2 linked regions of the Lepisosteus oculatus genome follow. The protein of the gene in region 1 interacts with the protein of each later gene in a biochemical or structural test. Links are inferred from orthologs where the notes say so. Each region holds a gene or a part of one and is shown on either strand. Other genes may lie near its edges.

Region 1 (8,602 bases):
CAATAATATATTGACCAGCTGGAAATTAATCAACGTGCCACGGAACTTTGCCTTTCTCAGCGATTTCCTTGTCGGTTTCTACACCGACGGAGAAAAAGGAGCGGAGAGGGACCTCCAGCTCTCTCTTGTTGAGTGTGGATGTGCGGTCGAGCCGGCCGAAAACACTCCGTTAGAAGAATAAGATCGCCGCTCAGTCTTTATTTTCACACAGAGCCTCTCACGAATAATAACGACCTGCCCTTGGCGGTGAAACAGCATTGTCTCTTCGGTATCAGAGGAAGAATACGTCTTACACCTGGCGAAGTTTCATGATGAAAACACGTTTTGGTTTTCTATTCCTAATGAAGCTCCCAAGGAGAGATCCTGATTAAACAGTTAAATTCCTCATCTCGCCTTCCGGTTAGAGCGAAAACCGTGAAAACGTGTCTTGAGACACTTGTGTGTTCCGTCGATCTTGACCATTTTCACTGTCAACTTAACCGCTGTATTCAGGGTATTTATGACTGGAAAGACACAGTATAAATGGGATAGACGTGTTTTTGTGTTCATAAGAAAGCGCAATTGAACAAAATTGCTGTCCTCTTTAGTCCTGGAAATCGCAATGCTCGACAAAGCCCGAGTGTAACAATACGACAAACCGCACAGTGTGTGCCCAAGGCAGGCTGGCAGTCATGGAGTTTCACGATATTAAACGATCGGAACAGGGGTGGAACAGTGCAGCGGTGGCTCTTGGGTCCCGGGTTCGGTTCTGGACTGGGTACCGTCTGCACCTTGTTCCCGTTTCAGGCTGGGTTTTGTCTGGGTGCTCGGTGACCTCCCACCTTCCAAACACACATGAGCCAAGTCACTAACGTGTTTCTGTGAGTGTCCGCATGTGCATGTGTGTAGATGCGTGTGCATGTGTGGATGAGTGTGAATGTGCATGTGTGTGGATGCGTGTGAATCTGCATGTGTGTGGATGCGTGTGAGTGTGTGGATGCGTGTGCATGTGTGTGGATGTGTGTGAATGTGCATGCGTGTGGATGTGTGTGAATGTGCATGCGTGTGGATGCGTGTGAGTGTGTGGATGCGTGTGCATGTGTGTGGATGTGTGTGAATGTGCATGTGTGTGGATGCGTGTAGACATCTCGCTGTTATTTGTTCTGTCACTGGTTTGTGTTCAGGATTGTGAATGTGTTGGGTGTGTTGGGTGGATGCTGTCAGGGTCAGCCCTGGGCATGGGCGAATTAGGGGTCTATCTCAGGCCCCAAGGCCACCAGGGACCCCTACCTAGGGGCCCCTCAAAATGCAACACAACATATTTTTAATCAGCACCTTCAAATCTGATTGTCAAATTCCCTTAGTGGCTTTTTTAGTTGCTGCTGTGGATGATCCTAATGGAAGCCCCGTCAACACATGACCAATCATAATTGAGTACGTGATGTTTCTGAAGAATCCCTGGCCGGGTACTCAGAACATGTGCCTGGCAGATAGCTGATCTCTGTACTGACATCTTCAACCTGTCCTTGGCCCAGGCTACTGTACCTAGGTACTTCAAAACAACCACCATCGTACCGGTACCAAAAGAATCTGCACCCACATGCCTGAACATGTGGTGGAGATGGTGAACAACTTCAAATTCCTAGGTGTTCATATCTCTGAGGACCTCACATGGGCACTGAACACCTCCAGTTTCAAGAAGGCACAACAGCGGCTGTACTTCCTGAGAAGGTTGAAGAAAATGCACCTACATCCACAGATCCTCACCAACTTCTGCAGATGTACGGTGGGGAGCATACTGACCAGCTGCATCACAGCCTGGTACGGCAACTGCACCGCATCCGACCGCAAGGCCCTGCAGCGGGTGGTCAAAACTGCCCAACACATCATCGGCAGTGCCTTACCACCCATCCAGGAAATCTACAACACCAGGTGTCTGAAAAAAGCCACCAAAATTACGACTGACCCCACTCACAACTTGATTGTCCCCCTACCATCTGGTAGAAGGTTCCGGATGCTCCAGACGCACACAAAAAGACTCCGAAATAGCTTCTTCCCTCGAGACGTGAAGCTGGTGACCCCCCCAGCTCCCACCCACCAAACTATGATCTCTCCTTACACCACTACATACATCCTATGTCCCACAATTGAATGCAAGCAGAGCTTGAACTGGGTACTGTCACACTGGTGCCATACTCGTTGTTTACATTGTTATTGTTACTGCAGTGCATTCGAGTTCCCCTGGGTATACACCCTCACCACTCCCACCTCAGTCAGCCCTCCACCACTGGGGCTCAAACCCGGGCCTCCGGCGTCACTCAACAGGGACCCAGCCAGTTGAGCTAAAGGGAGGCAGACCTGAGGGGTCATACCCACGTGAACCCGGAAGCGCTTCATTATTCTATTTACTATTGTCTTGTCTGCTTTTCTATATATACATTACATACTGCACCCGAGAGACTGGTGAGAAATACCTTTCATTATGCTACGCAAATGTATAAGTATAATGACAAAAAAAAAGCTGAATTGAATTGAAACTTGGAGAAGAAGAGCGGGACAAGCGATCTCAAAACGGACTCACGCTCAGGTCATTGTAATAGTGCGCTCTGTGCGTGGTCGTGTAATTTGGATCTGTTTGGGTCCTGGGTCAGTCAGATCCCTGTAACCAGCGAACGGTAGATAAGACACCTTTTCAAGCTGGACACGAAGCCCTCTGGGGGTGTTTTACCAGAAGGTAACGGGTTTCCCGCGACTGTACACATGCCGTGCGGGTTGCCTGGCGAAAACTCGACGCTGCCCGGCCAAACAATAGCGTGAAAGGCAATGTACGGTACAGAAGACTGTTCAGCGATCATACACAATTGGCATGAAAACGCGTTGCTGTCCCCGCGGTTTCTCCTGTATTGAGTTAGATGGGGCTGCAGTGAACTCCACCTGTAGCCCGTCGGACTGACAGCAGCAGGAGCGGAGAGCCGACCCGGCCATCATGAGCATCAGTCTTCCAGTGGGTCGACTACTATCGTATAAAAGATATGATTGAAGATTTTGCCCCCCGATGGATGAATTAATTTAGCGTTTTGTTTTTATAAAATCTTACCGTCTGCCCAGCCTGACTGATCTCACCTCCCTTGCTGTTGAGCGCACTTGTTTCTTAATCACATATTTATTTCTACGATTTCTTTCTGCAAAGGTATCAATGCAGTGATTTGTAAGTTCGTTGCTGTAGGTCCGAGGTAACAGTGATGCTGACGTCACCACCCTTCCCTGTGATAGTGGGACCTCTCTTTGGCTCACCGGGCTGGGTCCCTGTTGAGTGACGCAGGAGTCCAGGGTTCGAGCCCCCGACGGTGCGGGGCCGAGCTAATGCGGCAAGGGCGCCCGCCTGAACCCCCGTTGCGTTAAAATACGTTATCCTTGTAAAAGTTGTGCTTCTTCTTCTTGTTTATAACTTATTATGTGTTCTTTAAAGCTGGTTAGTACATTTTACAGTTATGTAATGGATGTCTTAAACTGTTTTAAATGGTAAACTAAGGCTGTGCTGGGAGCTGATAATAGTAGTTTATGCGCAAATTATGATCTGGAACGGACCCTTTCCAATATCTTGCTTCGAGCCCTCAAGCTAGAGCCTGCCCTGGATGCTATCTATTATGTAGTATATTTGTGTTTTGTATATCTTTAATTGTACGAGCCGCACCTGAAGAAGGCTCCACAGCTGAAACGTTGTGTCTTTCTTTCAGCACGGAATAGGAATACAACTTTACCTGTTCCCTGAGTCCCTGCTAGATCACTTAATATTGGGTCCTCCCAGGTGGTGCAGCAATTCTGGAGAAAAACCGGGCTCACGCTGCCATCTCGTGGACATTCGGTGTAGCTGCAACCTGTTTCACCTGGCCCCTGGCCCCGCACGGGCCAAGTGCTCGGAATCCTCCGTGGCGCTGTCAAAGTCACCCCCTTGGGCTTTTTCAGATCCCGCATTGAAACTCCCGAGGGGAACAAGTGGGGACTCCAGGGAAGACCAAATAAAACCGAGAACAGGAACACTTCGTTATACAAAGGGCTATGGGAGTCTGGAACAAGCTGCCCAGCGAAGTTATAAGATAAGATCACTTTATTAGCCATATACAATTTCTTGCATTAGGAACTGGTCTTTTTTTTGCATACCCCAGCTTTCTCTCCATGAGACACACAGACAGGGAGAGAGAAGCTAGGGGTTACAGCACAGGGTCAGCCATTTATACTGGGGTTAAGGGCCTTGCTCAGGAGCCCAACGGAGTAGGATTTAAACCAGCAACCTCCCGGCCACAGGCACGGATCCTTAGCCACAGTGCCACCGCTCCACCAAATCGAAGCGGATACCCTGGTTTCTTTCAAGAAGTGGTGAGATTAGACTCGTCTATTCTTGAGGCTTTATTACAATTATTTATGTGGGATGCTTTGGAAAATGGACTTCACGTGATGAATTATCACGATTTCCCAGGAGGTCTCTCATCCAGCTGCTGGCCAGGCTAACACCTGCTGAGCTTTAGAGGGTTGCTAGTTGCGAGTTGCGAGTTGCAGGGTGATATAGCTGCTGAAATTGCATTTATTGTAAAATAAAATACTTATAATTCCTTTAATTCACATATAGTTGCTAATAGACAGGTGAGAATGACCGATGTCTCTATAAGAAATCTTTATAACCAGAATTTACACTACAAGGAGACGACAACTTTCTCACAGAATCTGAAGTATCGATCCCGCGGAAAACTACGGGGTTTAAAATGAACGCCGCGGCTTTGCCACAACAAAGATGGCGTCCGTCAGGCGTCACGTCGCGACGTCTTCTCCTGCGCGCGCACGCTAGGTAGCGTGGACTGGAGCTTGGTCATTGGCTGGCGGGTAAATTTGAATTGAAACGAAACGGCTGCGATAAGGAAAAGCAGATCGTCAATACTGTGGATAATAACCTTCAGAAGTATTGGGGGAAAACAATATATTAATTTTTACAGAAAGAAAGCCGACTTCTCGGCTTTGTAGGCATTGTGAAAGGGGTAAGACCACAAATATCAATCGTAAAGTTTTCAGTTTGTTTTTCCTGTGTAGTTGTGTATATGTTAACCTAGGGTCGGTGTTTGTTTTTAAAATGAAATACAAAACTAGTTTTGTAAATGTCGGAGGTGAGATTTTGCCCCCAAACGGCAGAATTAGTTTCCATTTTATAATGGTAACTCCTACAAAGCGAGAACTACTTCAGCTTTTTCTTTGAACTTCTCGAAATGGAGGAATGTTTAAAATAACACAACGAATCTTTTCTTGTTCGTCTTTGTGAATCTTCTACAGATACACAGAAAGGAGGCTGTAAAGTACTTTGATTGCTTGACCAGTCCTCGAGCTTTGCTGTTTAAATTCACGTTAAACTGTGTATTGAATGGACTTAGTTTACCAAGGTGCTGCCCAGTTTCGGCTGTAAATAACCTCCAGGGTTAATGTCGCTTTGCTGTGCAGAGTTCGGTTTCTGTCTTGTGCAAGCGGACTGTGCCTTCAATTTGAGATTTCTAAAAATGTTATTAGCGACTCGTTTTCGTGTGAATGTTTTAAGGCGCTTTATAAATAAGGGATCTCAGCGTTGTCGTACTAGAACAGTAGAGGCTGGATTAAGCCCATTTAACCAAACCTCAGTCACCATGTTGGGAACAAAATAGTTACCGAATATTGTTGGTATACCTATACTGCCCTGGTCGTGGTAAGCCCGTACGCTGGCTCTTCTGCGTTGTGTTCTCAGATTTACACAATGCAGAAATTAAAAGCGACCTTGCACGGATTAAGAACCGAAAACGCTTAAAGGATCCCAGTGCGTGCCAGGCCAATTAAGACTAAGAGTTCAGTAACGCAACGAGCCCGGCTGCAATGAAAACCAGCGGCTGCCCAAAGTGATGTGAGATCCCCCAGTTTTGCTGTTTTAGAGGTCCTTTACATAAATGGAGGGCAGTTCTACAGCCTAAGAAATAACCTTGCAAAATGAGTCAGCTCAAGGGCCTTGAGAAATGTTTGTTAGTCTTCCTTCTCCATTTTGCAAACATTGTTCAGTAGGCATGTGCGTTATTCCCAGTGACCCTGCTTGATTTCTCACCCAAAGATCATCTTATTAAAGTTACTTGTTCCTTTGCAGCCTACGCATGCTGACGCAGCTACCCACCTGATCTATATTAAAGTTCTGATGACCTGAGGATTTGGGGCTTTTTGCAGCAGTTACTTTTGTCATTCAAACTGAGAGAGTGGGTATTTTATTCTAACCCGCGTGTGTCTTGGCAGGCGATGGAGACCGCGGTGGTCAGTTTGCACGGCCTGTTTGACAAGCTGCGGCACCACGCTGAAGTCCTGAACGAGAGCGTCGAACCTCGTAAGCGCCTTTCTTTCCTAAAGGGAGCCCCTTCGCACGAGGCTGTTGAGCTACAGCGTGATCTTCACTCCTGGTCCCGGAGGACTGCTGTACTCCGGGCTTCACGGCTATAATCATCCTCGCTGGGTGAAGGCGTAGTGACTGTGGTCATAGACGTGTTATGTGAACAGTTGATTCAGATAAAGCCCTTAGGAGTTGAGGGTGGAATGAAAGAAAACAGCAGCTTGAGGGGACCAGGAGCAAATATCAATGTCAGAATCAAATGCTCATCACTGTCATTAAAGCTAATTTGCCGTGTAAACTCAAGGGCCAAAATTCTAGGTGACCCCATCAAATAACCCGGTGGGCCTTCATGAGCATCCCAAATAGGTTTCATAGGATGTGGCGCATATTCCACAAGGTTCTGGATCGTCAGTCTTATCCCGTCGTCCAGCAGGATATCGTTAGCTGAGGCCATGAGGGGTGACAATGGTGTGAGATGTGGGAATGAACTGCGTGTTCAACCCGTTCTGCAAGATCTGAAGAGGATTCAGTGCTGGAGGTTTTTCTGCCCAGGAAAGGTGATGGAGGTCTCTCCTGCTCCTTAAGCCGCCTGTGCTTTGCAGCTGTGGTGGGAGCCGGTTATTTGATTGTGTTCCTGATATTTTGGGCCATGAGTGTGCAAGCAATACAAATGTTGGAAAACACGCTGAAACTCTTATTTTGCCTAAAAGTAGTCTTAATTTTTCAGTTAAAAATATTGCAGCATAAAACCCAAACATAAGCAAAAAAAATATTGTCTCTTATACCAAAGTTATAACAGGAATTTATTTTGGTCCTGGTTTATACCTTAATGAGCTTTTGTATGCTTAATTTTATGTACTGTATATTTTATTCACAGGTCAATGATTTTGAGTCCCTTGTTAAATGTGTATGTCTTGATACCTCCGATCTGATTAAGATGCCTAATTAAAGTTAGTTTTGCCTCTCCTACAGTAAGTGTCAATTCAGCTGAAATAAAAACTAAGTTTAAAAAGTTGAAACCAAGTGTTACCTTAGGCCCGCCTTACAGGAGATAGTCATACAGCACATATAGTTCAGGTATAGAATCCTCCTGAGCCTCTTTGCTCTTCAGAGTTCATCCAGCTGGCGGTGAATTTCGAGGACTGCCGCCGCAAGTGGCTGAAGAGCGAGCAGGAGCTGGTGTCGTGCAAGGAGGTGCTGGCCAAGGCGGAGACCGAGCGCGGCGCCCTGGAGGTCAAGCTCAAGCACGCCCGCAACCAGGTGGACGTGGAGGTCCGCCGGCGCCAGAAGGCTGAGGCCGAGTGCGAGAAACTGGTGGGTGTGCCCCAGCTCCTGCTCGGGGGCTTTTGTGCTTTCCCAACCTTGCCTATGCGAGCAGCGAGAGTCACACTGAGGCTTCTGTCTTGGGCTTTTTCTGAAGAGACCGAATGAGAGCTAGTTCTCCAGGGACTGAGATGGTACTTGAAGGGGCATAGAATCCTATGAAAATACCTGAGAATAAGTCCTTTTAATTTCATTCTTCAGTTTAACTAATATTTTAAATTTGCTCAGTGGTTACAGCTATACCAAGTTGATGAGGTGTGTTTTTGTAAGTATTGAATAGAGAAGATTCCTAAAAACTATATTTTGTGTGCAGTATGGGCATGTGTGTATTATGTGAAGAATGGGAGCCGTGCTTATAAATGGGCCCACTGTGACCCTCTTTCCCCATTGGCATTGTATTTCAGGATCGGCAGATCCAGTTGATCAGAGAGCTGCTGATCACGGAGGGATCCACTAGCATTCAGCTAAACGAAGAGCAGCGATCTGCCCTGGCCTTCCTCAATGCCCGGACTCAGGCAGCCCCACAGAACACCAGCCGGAGGTAAGCATGACCCTACTCTTCCAATTCCTTTTAAAGGAAGTTGAGTGTTCTGTCCACTGACACATGCTGTTATTACAGCAGGTTGGTGCCTTTTCTGAGGTGGCCCTGAAGGGAAAGGTACCCTCTGTTTGGCTGGCACCTCCAAGAAGCTAAGAAGACCATCCCTTTTTCTTATCTGAGACCTCTATTGCCATTTTTCTTCTTTTGCAGGTTAACCACGATTGACGAGTCTGCATCCATTCTGTCAGATATCAGCTATGACAAGACAGATGACTCCCTGGTAATATTTTACCCCAGACATTTAACGTATTGGAGGGGAAAAAATGGTGACGCACAGAGTTGTAATGTCAGCTCAACCACATTCAAGGCTTTGCTCA
Region 2 (8,765 bases), on another chromosome or scaffold:
AAAAACACACTTCATTCACCAAGGAAGTACAGTCCCATCTGGGTGACAGCCATTCTGCAATCGACAAATTCCTAATGCAAGAAATTTGATATGGCTAATAAAGTGATCTTATCTTATTGGGGTTGCTGGAACAGATGAGATGGAAAAATTGCTTCACCAGTCGAATCAAGGGGATTAAAGAAAGAGACCAGACATACAAGTCTAGACTGGAATTTTGCCAGGACACCAGTGTGAACAGTACCATAGGATCAACGAGCAAGTTGTCACGACCTCAGTTTAACCTCATTCCGAAGAAAGCAACTTGCACATGACACCCTCATATTTGCAAGGGCAAAAGTTTGGGAATTCTGATCCAGATGGAAAAGTCCCTCTTGCATACCCATTTGCAGCTGCAACCTGGCTTTTCTTGGGAGGTATACCATCTCAGTACCAATCAGGCCCAGCCTTGACAAAGATCCGAGATCTAAGCAGATCAGGCTGCAGGGTTGTATGATACCCAAGGCAATGGAAGTTAGAAGGGATCGTTTTGATCAGCATAAGGCACCACAGGTTACGAGAGCATCACACAGATCTTGTTTGCAAGAAAAAATAAAAATCAATCTTAAACCTTCAGAATAATAACATCTCCCAGTGAAGATTTATAGGTCATTGCAAGAAACAAATCTACATACAGATTTGTGATTTCAGGAGCCCTAAGACTGAAACTCAATAAATACTTAAAATGATTATATAGTAAATCATTTTAAGTACGCCACAGTATGGTCATGATATTTAATTTCAGATTTTAATATTGCAACACCTTTATACCATCCGTGCAAGTACTGTGAAAATTAACAAATGAAGGGACAATGAAAAATGGTATTTCTGTCTAAAAATGGCTGGAGTCATACATATTTTAACCTTAAACATCTACTGCTGCTGATACTTTATTATTTTTAGCAAGTGACAAATGATAGTACTCTAGGATAAATTTATTTCCAAACAGCAATCTGAAATTACAACAGGGGGATTTGTCAATTTAAATAAAAATTATCAGCTTCTTATTCCTGGAGCTTCAGTAATATATACCAAGGGGAGCATTGTTAGCATATTATCCATTGAATAATTTGTTCAAAACTATCACACAAAAACTATTATGGGATCAGCAGGTTTAAATCTGTACAGTGTTGTCTTGCATCTAAAGGCTTAGCAACTCATCTGAAAATTGAATAATGAGCTATTGTAAAGAGGAAAGAAAGAATAAAATATCCCACTATGGTATTATTTTTTACCTCCAATGCCTTAACAAGTTCTTCATTGTTTCCTGCTTCTCCCACAAGAATAACCCTGGTTTCAACACGAGGCAGCATATCTGCAAAAGGATACAGATGATTACTGCAAAGCAAGGGAATGGATACAAATATTAAACTGTCCTCCTCTCTAACAGTTAAGACACAAATGCTAGTCTGTAGTTTATGTGCTCCACAGTGAAAACTAGGCTTTGAAATGCACACAGAAGGCTCTTCACAGCATAAAAATAAGCATAGCAGGAACTGTTCTGGCCCTTGGTCTCACCCAGCCATTCTGATTAAGATGATGCATACATAACTACTCAATGAGCCAGATTGGCTGAATCTCGTTTGCAGATTATTTATGTTCTCAGTGTGCAGCTCAATGACTAAAACGGCATCCTTAATTTTCATATTTATAGAAAAAAATGTAAAAAGGATAAACATTTTCTGATCCCAAAATAAAGTGCAAACTCAAGTTTAAAATCAGTGCTTGTATATCTGGGGAGATACATGCGCCCTCTTCCGTTCCTGCTAGACAAACACCTGTAAACTTTCAAAATTCCTTCCAGAAAATAAGAGAAAATTACAAAAGAGAAAAAAGGCTTCTAACATCAGTCTATTCCACATCTCTTACTTTCTCGGGTTTACAAAACATTTGTTACGTTTCTTTTTTTTTTCCCCACAACACAGGAATCCAGAAAAGCTACACACACTAGGTTTTAGGATCTACAGATTGTGGAGTATGAGGACTTTGTAATTCATCATTATTAAAAAGATTTTAACAGGTTGGCAATACTGGGTGAGATCTGCATTTCCCAAGGCCTTTGAAGAGACGCTGTGCACCGTTATTGTTCAAACCCACTTTAGACATGTCCAGTTTGACAGCAATAACTCAACACAACTGTAACAAGACTTAGCTTTCTGGAGTCACCTTCAGCATCCTCTGGAGTCAGACCAAGAAACAGGTGGTCCCTGGAGGTCTCGGCCATCCTGGAGTCATAGACAGAGGAGTCCACCAGCAGGCTGGGGGCCGCCCCCAGTGTGAGAGTACTGCTGTCAGCCATGGCAGATCAAGAGCTGATGTCCCTACGCAAACACCAAGCCGAAAGGGCAAACATGTCACGCCGCATGCCAGTTACCCCTTCAAAAGCGAATTACGGTTTAACTGAAATAAACTGAATAGTTTGAAACAACTCCACGGCACTAAACCTGATCATGGAAACCTTCAGCGTGACTCTCTCACGGAGTCCGAGACAAACGGCAGTGCTTCACAAGAGCGCAGCCTCTGCTGAATCTTATTAAGAAATGAAGAGCCCATCACAGCAACAGGGAGAAAAACAAATCAGGCCCAGAACTCGCAGCCTTCGCTCAGAAACCAGAAGGCTCAGGGTCAACACAAATAAGCCCGTCCTCCATCCCCGTGTGCAGCCAGTGTCCTAAATAACAAAGCTGCAGAAGCTACTGAAAAAAAACATGCTTCAGGAGAATGGGACTTGCAAGACTCGACCTTTAACTATAAATGCAACGAACTTTTTTTAGGGAAAAAAAACTTAGAGATCAAAACGCCACACGCGTTGTACCAGTCAATCTTTGAAACACTTCCCGATTCAGAAGTATTTTAAATTAACGTTCATTGGAAGATTAAGCTTCGGAGCCACGGAAGATTACTGAAAGAGCACAGGATTCAGCTTTAGGTCCCTCCGGAATGATCAACAGAGATGTTCACATACCAAGTCTCAAAACCGGCCACAGATATTAGCCAGTAAAGGTACAAATACACTCAGAAGTCAATGAGAGTAGCCAGCAACATGCTGGACTGAACCACTCAGGAATAAACATGAACTATTTAATGTCAGACCAGACCTGAACAAGTTACAATCGCACCTGCTACAAACTAGTCAGCAAATGTCTTGCCCCGCAGAAACATTCGCCCGCAGACTCACCCTTTTCTGACCCGGGCATTACAGGGGCAAGCTGTAAGAAACATGTTTTCTTTTATTTCCCAGAAAGACTAACACCCACCAGCAGGAGAGACAGGAGCAGGCCGGCGCCGCAGAGTCAGGTAGGGTGGACGCAGCTAAAACACCTGCAAACAAAACCACACGCGGCTACAACACGAAACGCGTTTCTAATAAAGAAAACAAAAAAAACAAAGAAACAAGATAATACGTCAAGTTCCGCGGTTATTGTGTGTAATGCGAATTAACTGTAAAGCCCCATTCTCGCAGCAAACTGCTATGTTTCGTCTCCTTGAATTCAAAAAAGCTGGACAAACACAGAGCTGCGCGCTGATTGGACGAGAGGCCAGCCCAGGACCGGAAGGGGATCTTCCGGAAATAACGTCCCCGCGGTTCCCATTGGCTGGCGCTTTCAAACCGGCTCGCGTGCCCGAGTGCCCCAGTGCGCGAGCCTGCAGTGGCGGCGGGCGCGGTTCGTCTCGGTAGGGTTTCTGTCAGCTTGTAAACATCACGGTTCCGAGCGATTGAATGTAGCTAGGACAAAAGTATCATTAAAAACACAGGAGGGCTTCACATGAGTGGAGGTCCCGTCGACCTCGGTGGGTGACTCAAACTAGTGTACTAGGAGAGACGTTCTTACACAAACGTGGCCCTCTGGTCTCTGTATCCCCTGATGGTGCTGAAACGCACAGGTTGCATCCCCGAGTCTTCACATGCTGGTGTTGAACTGGTGCAGCATGAACCTGCAGGTCACTTGGCATCGCCGGACCCCAACGCTGACAGCCCGAGTGTGCGTGTGTGCATCTCTGCAATCTGGTTTCTGTCTTTTGCTTTTACTTCTTTCCTTTATAAAAACGTTATTGTCGTTGACGTAGAACATCAACACGGATCAGATGCTATGGTTTAATTGCATAAAAAAAATGCAGTTTTACTCCATAGGGTGGTGGACACTTGACAGGGCTGTGTTCGCTGCAGTTTCTGGAGGGTGACTCGCGGGTCAGCAGGACGGGTGTTGCGCCTCTGCAGTGTGCTCTAGGCCGGCCGAAGAGTGCACGACTTCGCCGCAGAACGTTTCTCAGCTTATTACCCACAGACTATCTCGAGTGAATGATGATGGAAAGATGTGTTTATTGTACGAGGTGACTCCAGAAAGTTGATTCTTACAGCTTTCTCAGTTTTATTGCTGTAGACGCCAGAGTATCCGCTCAAGGTGCGCCACAAGACACGTCTAGGTACTCTGCTTCATCTGCTTCACCTTCACCCTGCTGACATGGATTCATCTGCTTTTTCCACTTGCAAAATACGATACATTCGTTGGAGACTCAGTCTGCATCAAAGTTCCCCACATATGTTTTTATTTGAGAGTCAACAAAAGCACCAAGAAGCCATTTTCAGAGTACTAGTATCACAGTATAGTTTTGAATGCCCATTATTTAAGTTTTAAAAGCTTGGAAAAGTTTATTTCACGGCACATGAAAACATAAGTTAACATAAGTTGAATTTATTCTTGTGAAGGAAAAAAGGAGTGCAATTCTTTATTTTGTTAGCCTAGGAAAGGAATTAATGATCATTTGTCTGTGGAAAAAATAATTTTGTTTGTCAAACATTGTTTTTAAAAACCCTACAATTTTATAGTTTCATTTAAATGTATTATCGTATAGTTTTGGACACTTAACATTATGACTGAAGACCTCACAATCACAGACACTGCAGATATTTTTTTTTACAAGATTAATTTCTGAAGCATACATATAAAACACATTTATCTGTGTGTTTTCTACACAACTCTGGTGCATGAAATCTGGTGCCCCTTTGTGCATAAATGAGACGGGGAGGCCGAGAGTGGGGTTTAATTTATTCTGGTTTGACGAGAGCGTCGGTGCTGGAATGAGGAGCCATCCTTTATGAAGGCCTGTAATGAGGAGGCAAGGCGACCGGCTCGGATCAGCGCTAATTTGGATCAATGATGCCACCCACCAGCTGACACACTCAATAGTGGGAACAACATGTAAAACTTTACAATGTGCATATCTTTTATATATAATTTAATCCCGACAGAAGAAAGCAGATAAAAAGTTAGTGCCTACCACCAACCGAAGGAATACATTACGCTTTAAGGCCCACATTAATGGTCTTTTCTGTTCCTCGCCGGAGCAGCAGCTGACAGCACAGAGTTATAATGATGTGCTGTATGCATTCCACTGTACCTGAATGGCATCCATCATGAGCCGACAAGAAGACACAGACACCTTCTTTTAACAACGCATTGTAATTTCAATATGTTTAAAAATGTACAGAAAGGTCATTTACACAGTATATCCAATGACATTGCTCATACATATACAAAATGCAGTTTGCAGTCTAGGATTCCAAGTTTTTTTTTATCCTTTCAAATAAATACAGACAAAAGTTAGCAGAAGGAGCTTCACAATTTCTGAATGAAAAAGACTGTGCCTGAATGGTCTGCCTCAGTAGAAATGCTTTAAGAAACATCAAGACAATGCAACACCTTGATTTTGTTTTTGGTCACAAAAGTAAAGACCAGAATTTTAGGGTATCTCTTTTTACACCACCATTAAAAGATAAAATTACATTCAATCCACTAGAACAAGTAGCAAAATCAAAAGGCCCCTACTGTAAGTTCTCAGGCACAAGTCCCACAAACACCTTGAATATGTTTTAACAAAACTGCTGTAATTTTGAAAAAAAAGAAACATTCCTGGTCATCTATCATAAAGCTTATCATTGACAAGCAATAGCTAGCTCACGTAAAGGAGTTCAGGACAATTCGTAATGCCCATGTGAAGCAGAGTACAGTGAAGATGAATTATTCTGCGTTACAAAAAAACTGATACGAGAAAATTATATTTGAAAATGATCAAAACCTGAAGTTTATAAACTACTGATAATGATCTGTTTAATCAAAATGTGCGCATGACTTTATTCTTAGCAATTTGCTACACTTGTCTCGTTATGTATGCATCACGTCTTCACGGCAGCTATCTAGCAGCCTCTCACTGTGACAGCGTTCCCAGCGTAACAGTGTATTCTGAACGCAAGAGTGTTTTGCTCTTGTAATGGTTTTCTACAGTTCACAATTTACTAAACATTGAAGAGTATGTCTAGTAAAAATGCTCATATCCTGACACACAGAAATATTTATAAAATATATATATAACATATGCTACTCTCAGATCAAACTGAATATTGTGGCTGGGAGAAGTACACGAGAACTTCACACAAGCAAAACACTAAGCCTGAAAACAAATACAGCACATTCAGATGAAATATAGCCAAGAGTGAATGCTTCTTCAAAAATGAGAGGTAAACCTGTACTGTTCAAAGAATTACTTCTCTCACAGATGGCAAGTCACAAATAACTTTCTATTTGGTGACTGGTCTTTGTCCAAAAGTGCTCAGTTTTCGCAGGACGCAGAAATCCATGCGCCGCAGACAGGATATGGCCTGTTTCTGCTTGTGCTGTTCTTGTCCATATTGCCAAAGGAGAGGAGAGGGAAACAGTGACACCAACAACCACACAGGAACCACTCACAACATCACCCTCTCCCTCAGCAGAGTGTTACAGTCGCCAGGCTGGAGCGCAGCTAAACACAGTGAGAACCAGAGCTGCAGGGTCTTTATCTCCGTCGCCACACTATCGATGTCTATATTCAGGCTCAACAGACGCTGACAGACCTGGTCCTCTCAGCTGTCGCAGCTTGCTGTTGCAACCTCCTGACACACACGCAGCTCTGCCGAGTTACAGCCAGGAAGGGAAGGAGCAGCGGCACGTTACTGGAACTGTGGAACGGAAAGGCACTGCAACAGCGCTGAATCAAAGCATAAAGCACCACTTTTTGTGCTATTTATTCGCCTGGAAGGAGAGCTTCTGTACAGGACGTAGCAGCTGAGAGGGTGTCTGGTTTACTACCCAATGGCAGCAGACGTAGGAGCTCTTTGGACAATACAGGCAGATTGGAACCTGGAGCCTTTAGTTACAATAAGCAAAGCAGCTTCCGCTAGAGGACTCCTCTGGGAGGGCGGATTGAAGGCAGCCTGCAAGCTCCAGACCCGCGTGGCACACAAGAAAGCCAGAAGCTGAAAGACGACTGAGAATCCCCTCGGTTTCAACTCCCAGCCCTCAACTCCGTCGCCATCTGTCCCGCGCGCTCGCTTTCCTTCTCTTCCGTGTCGGCGAGAGCGGCCGTGCACATGTCGCTGAAAAAATCTGGAAAGGGGAACGGCGGTTAAGAGGCGGAGAAACGAATGGCAACGCGGCGTTTTGAAACGACTCTGTCTGTGCGAGACAGCAGGCGGCTGCTGCAGACGCTCGGGAAAGCGCACGGTGTTAGATCTATCTAACTTTACTTTCTTGGGCTGCTGGGTTGTTCTCACGCCGAATACACTGCAAGCCAATGCAGTCGTGTGGCCAGGCCAGTCCCCGGGAATACAGGGATGGAAATGCCAGACAGGCTCGGGGGAACCCGAAAGGTTCCAGAACAGCAGGATGTAACAGTGGAGGAGACCTCAAGCTACTGCAGCACCTCCACCTGACTCAAGCGGGGTCTCGGGCTCGGCTCCTGGAGGGCCTGTTGTCTTCTGGGTTTCGTTCCAACCTAAGGAGTCGATTAAACAATTAACCTAATTATTTTCTGAATTAGACCTGTACAGGATTTTTGGTAAGGACTTTTTTACTGTTGGCTGCACAACACATCTCGCTTCATTAAGGTACAGCTACCTACAGTTCAAATCACTTTGGATTCTGGTTAGAAGCATTACACTTATATAGCTAATTAAATAATTAGTTCATGTATGGAACTGAGAATGTGGTTGGAACAAAAACCAGAAGACTCCAGGCCCTCCAGGAACTGAACCTGAGACTCCTGCTCTACAGCAAAACACACTGAATGGATACAGGCTGTTCTCAGCTATGGGGGCTCTTCTCTAACTGTATCATCACAACACCTTCCAGGGTCTCGTGATAAAAACAAATACATTAGTACAATACAAAATGGATATGGTTCCATTTAATCTATTTCACACCAATAAAGGATGAAAGGCACTTGTTATGAAGAGTGAAAGGAGCCAAGCCACCAGGAAAGTAAAGACCATGAATATTGCAAGTAAGGGGTTAGCAGAATGGGAAAAGAGACAATGCATGCTGCACTCACTTAGCTTTCAACCTGCTATTTAGTTCCCTGTTTTTTATTTTAAATCTCTCTACTACATAACGTATTATCGAGTACTGTGGGCTGCAACCTGTTTCACTAGCTGTTACAAATTAAGTATTTAATAAGATGTACCAGTATTACTGTTTATGTGAACTCCTCCTGCAGACAGCAATATGCTGGACGGAACCAAACCTGTCTTCTCAGTTAAAAGGGTCTTGACTAGCCTAAAATACGAAAAAGAATGTTCAGTTTAATTGAGGGCTTACCACAGGGGTGGGTTTCAGAGTGATCATTGATTTGGATTAGAAGAAGGTGACTCATTGACATGAATTTTCCCAGCAGACTCTTCAGAATCAACAACTAAC

What was found.
Region 2: the proteins of racgap1 (region 1) and ect2 form a complex in vitro, tested with the Homo sapiens proteins (3 studies listed by BioGRID and IntAct, with this or other methods). The link is inferred for Lepisosteus oculatus from reciprocal best matches to the Homo sapiens genes RACGAP1 and ECT2.

Annotation. Positions count from the first base shown.
Region 1 is NC_090696.1:15,976,107-15,984,708, forward strand, and holds the start of racgap1 (rac GTPase-activating protein 1), read left to right. Parts: upstream 1-4,851; 5' UTR 4,852-5,009; intron 5,010-6,270; 5' UTR 6,271-6,273; coding exon 6,274-6,358; intron 6,359-7,472; coding exon 7,473-7,675; intron 7,676-8,088; coding exon 8,089-8,225; intron 8,226-8,435; coding exon 8,436-8,505; intron 8,506-8,602.
Region 2 is NC_090708.1:674,676-683,440, reverse strand, and holds the start of ect2 (protein ECT2), read right to left. Parts: upstream 3,567-8,765; 5' UTR 3,294-3,566; intron 2,358-3,293; 5' UTR 2,336-2,357; coding exon 2,203-2,335; intron 1,352-2,202; coding exon 1,272-1,351; intron 1-1,271. Other genes in the region: mcf2l2 (guanine nucleotide exchange factor DBS), read right to left, coding at 7,357-7,457, 8,533-8,624. UniProt on the Homo sapiens protein: Guanine nucleotide exchange factor (GEF) that catalyzes the exchange of GDP for GTP. Promotes guanine nucleotide exchange on the Rho family members of small GTPases, like RHOA, RHOC, RAC1 and CDC42.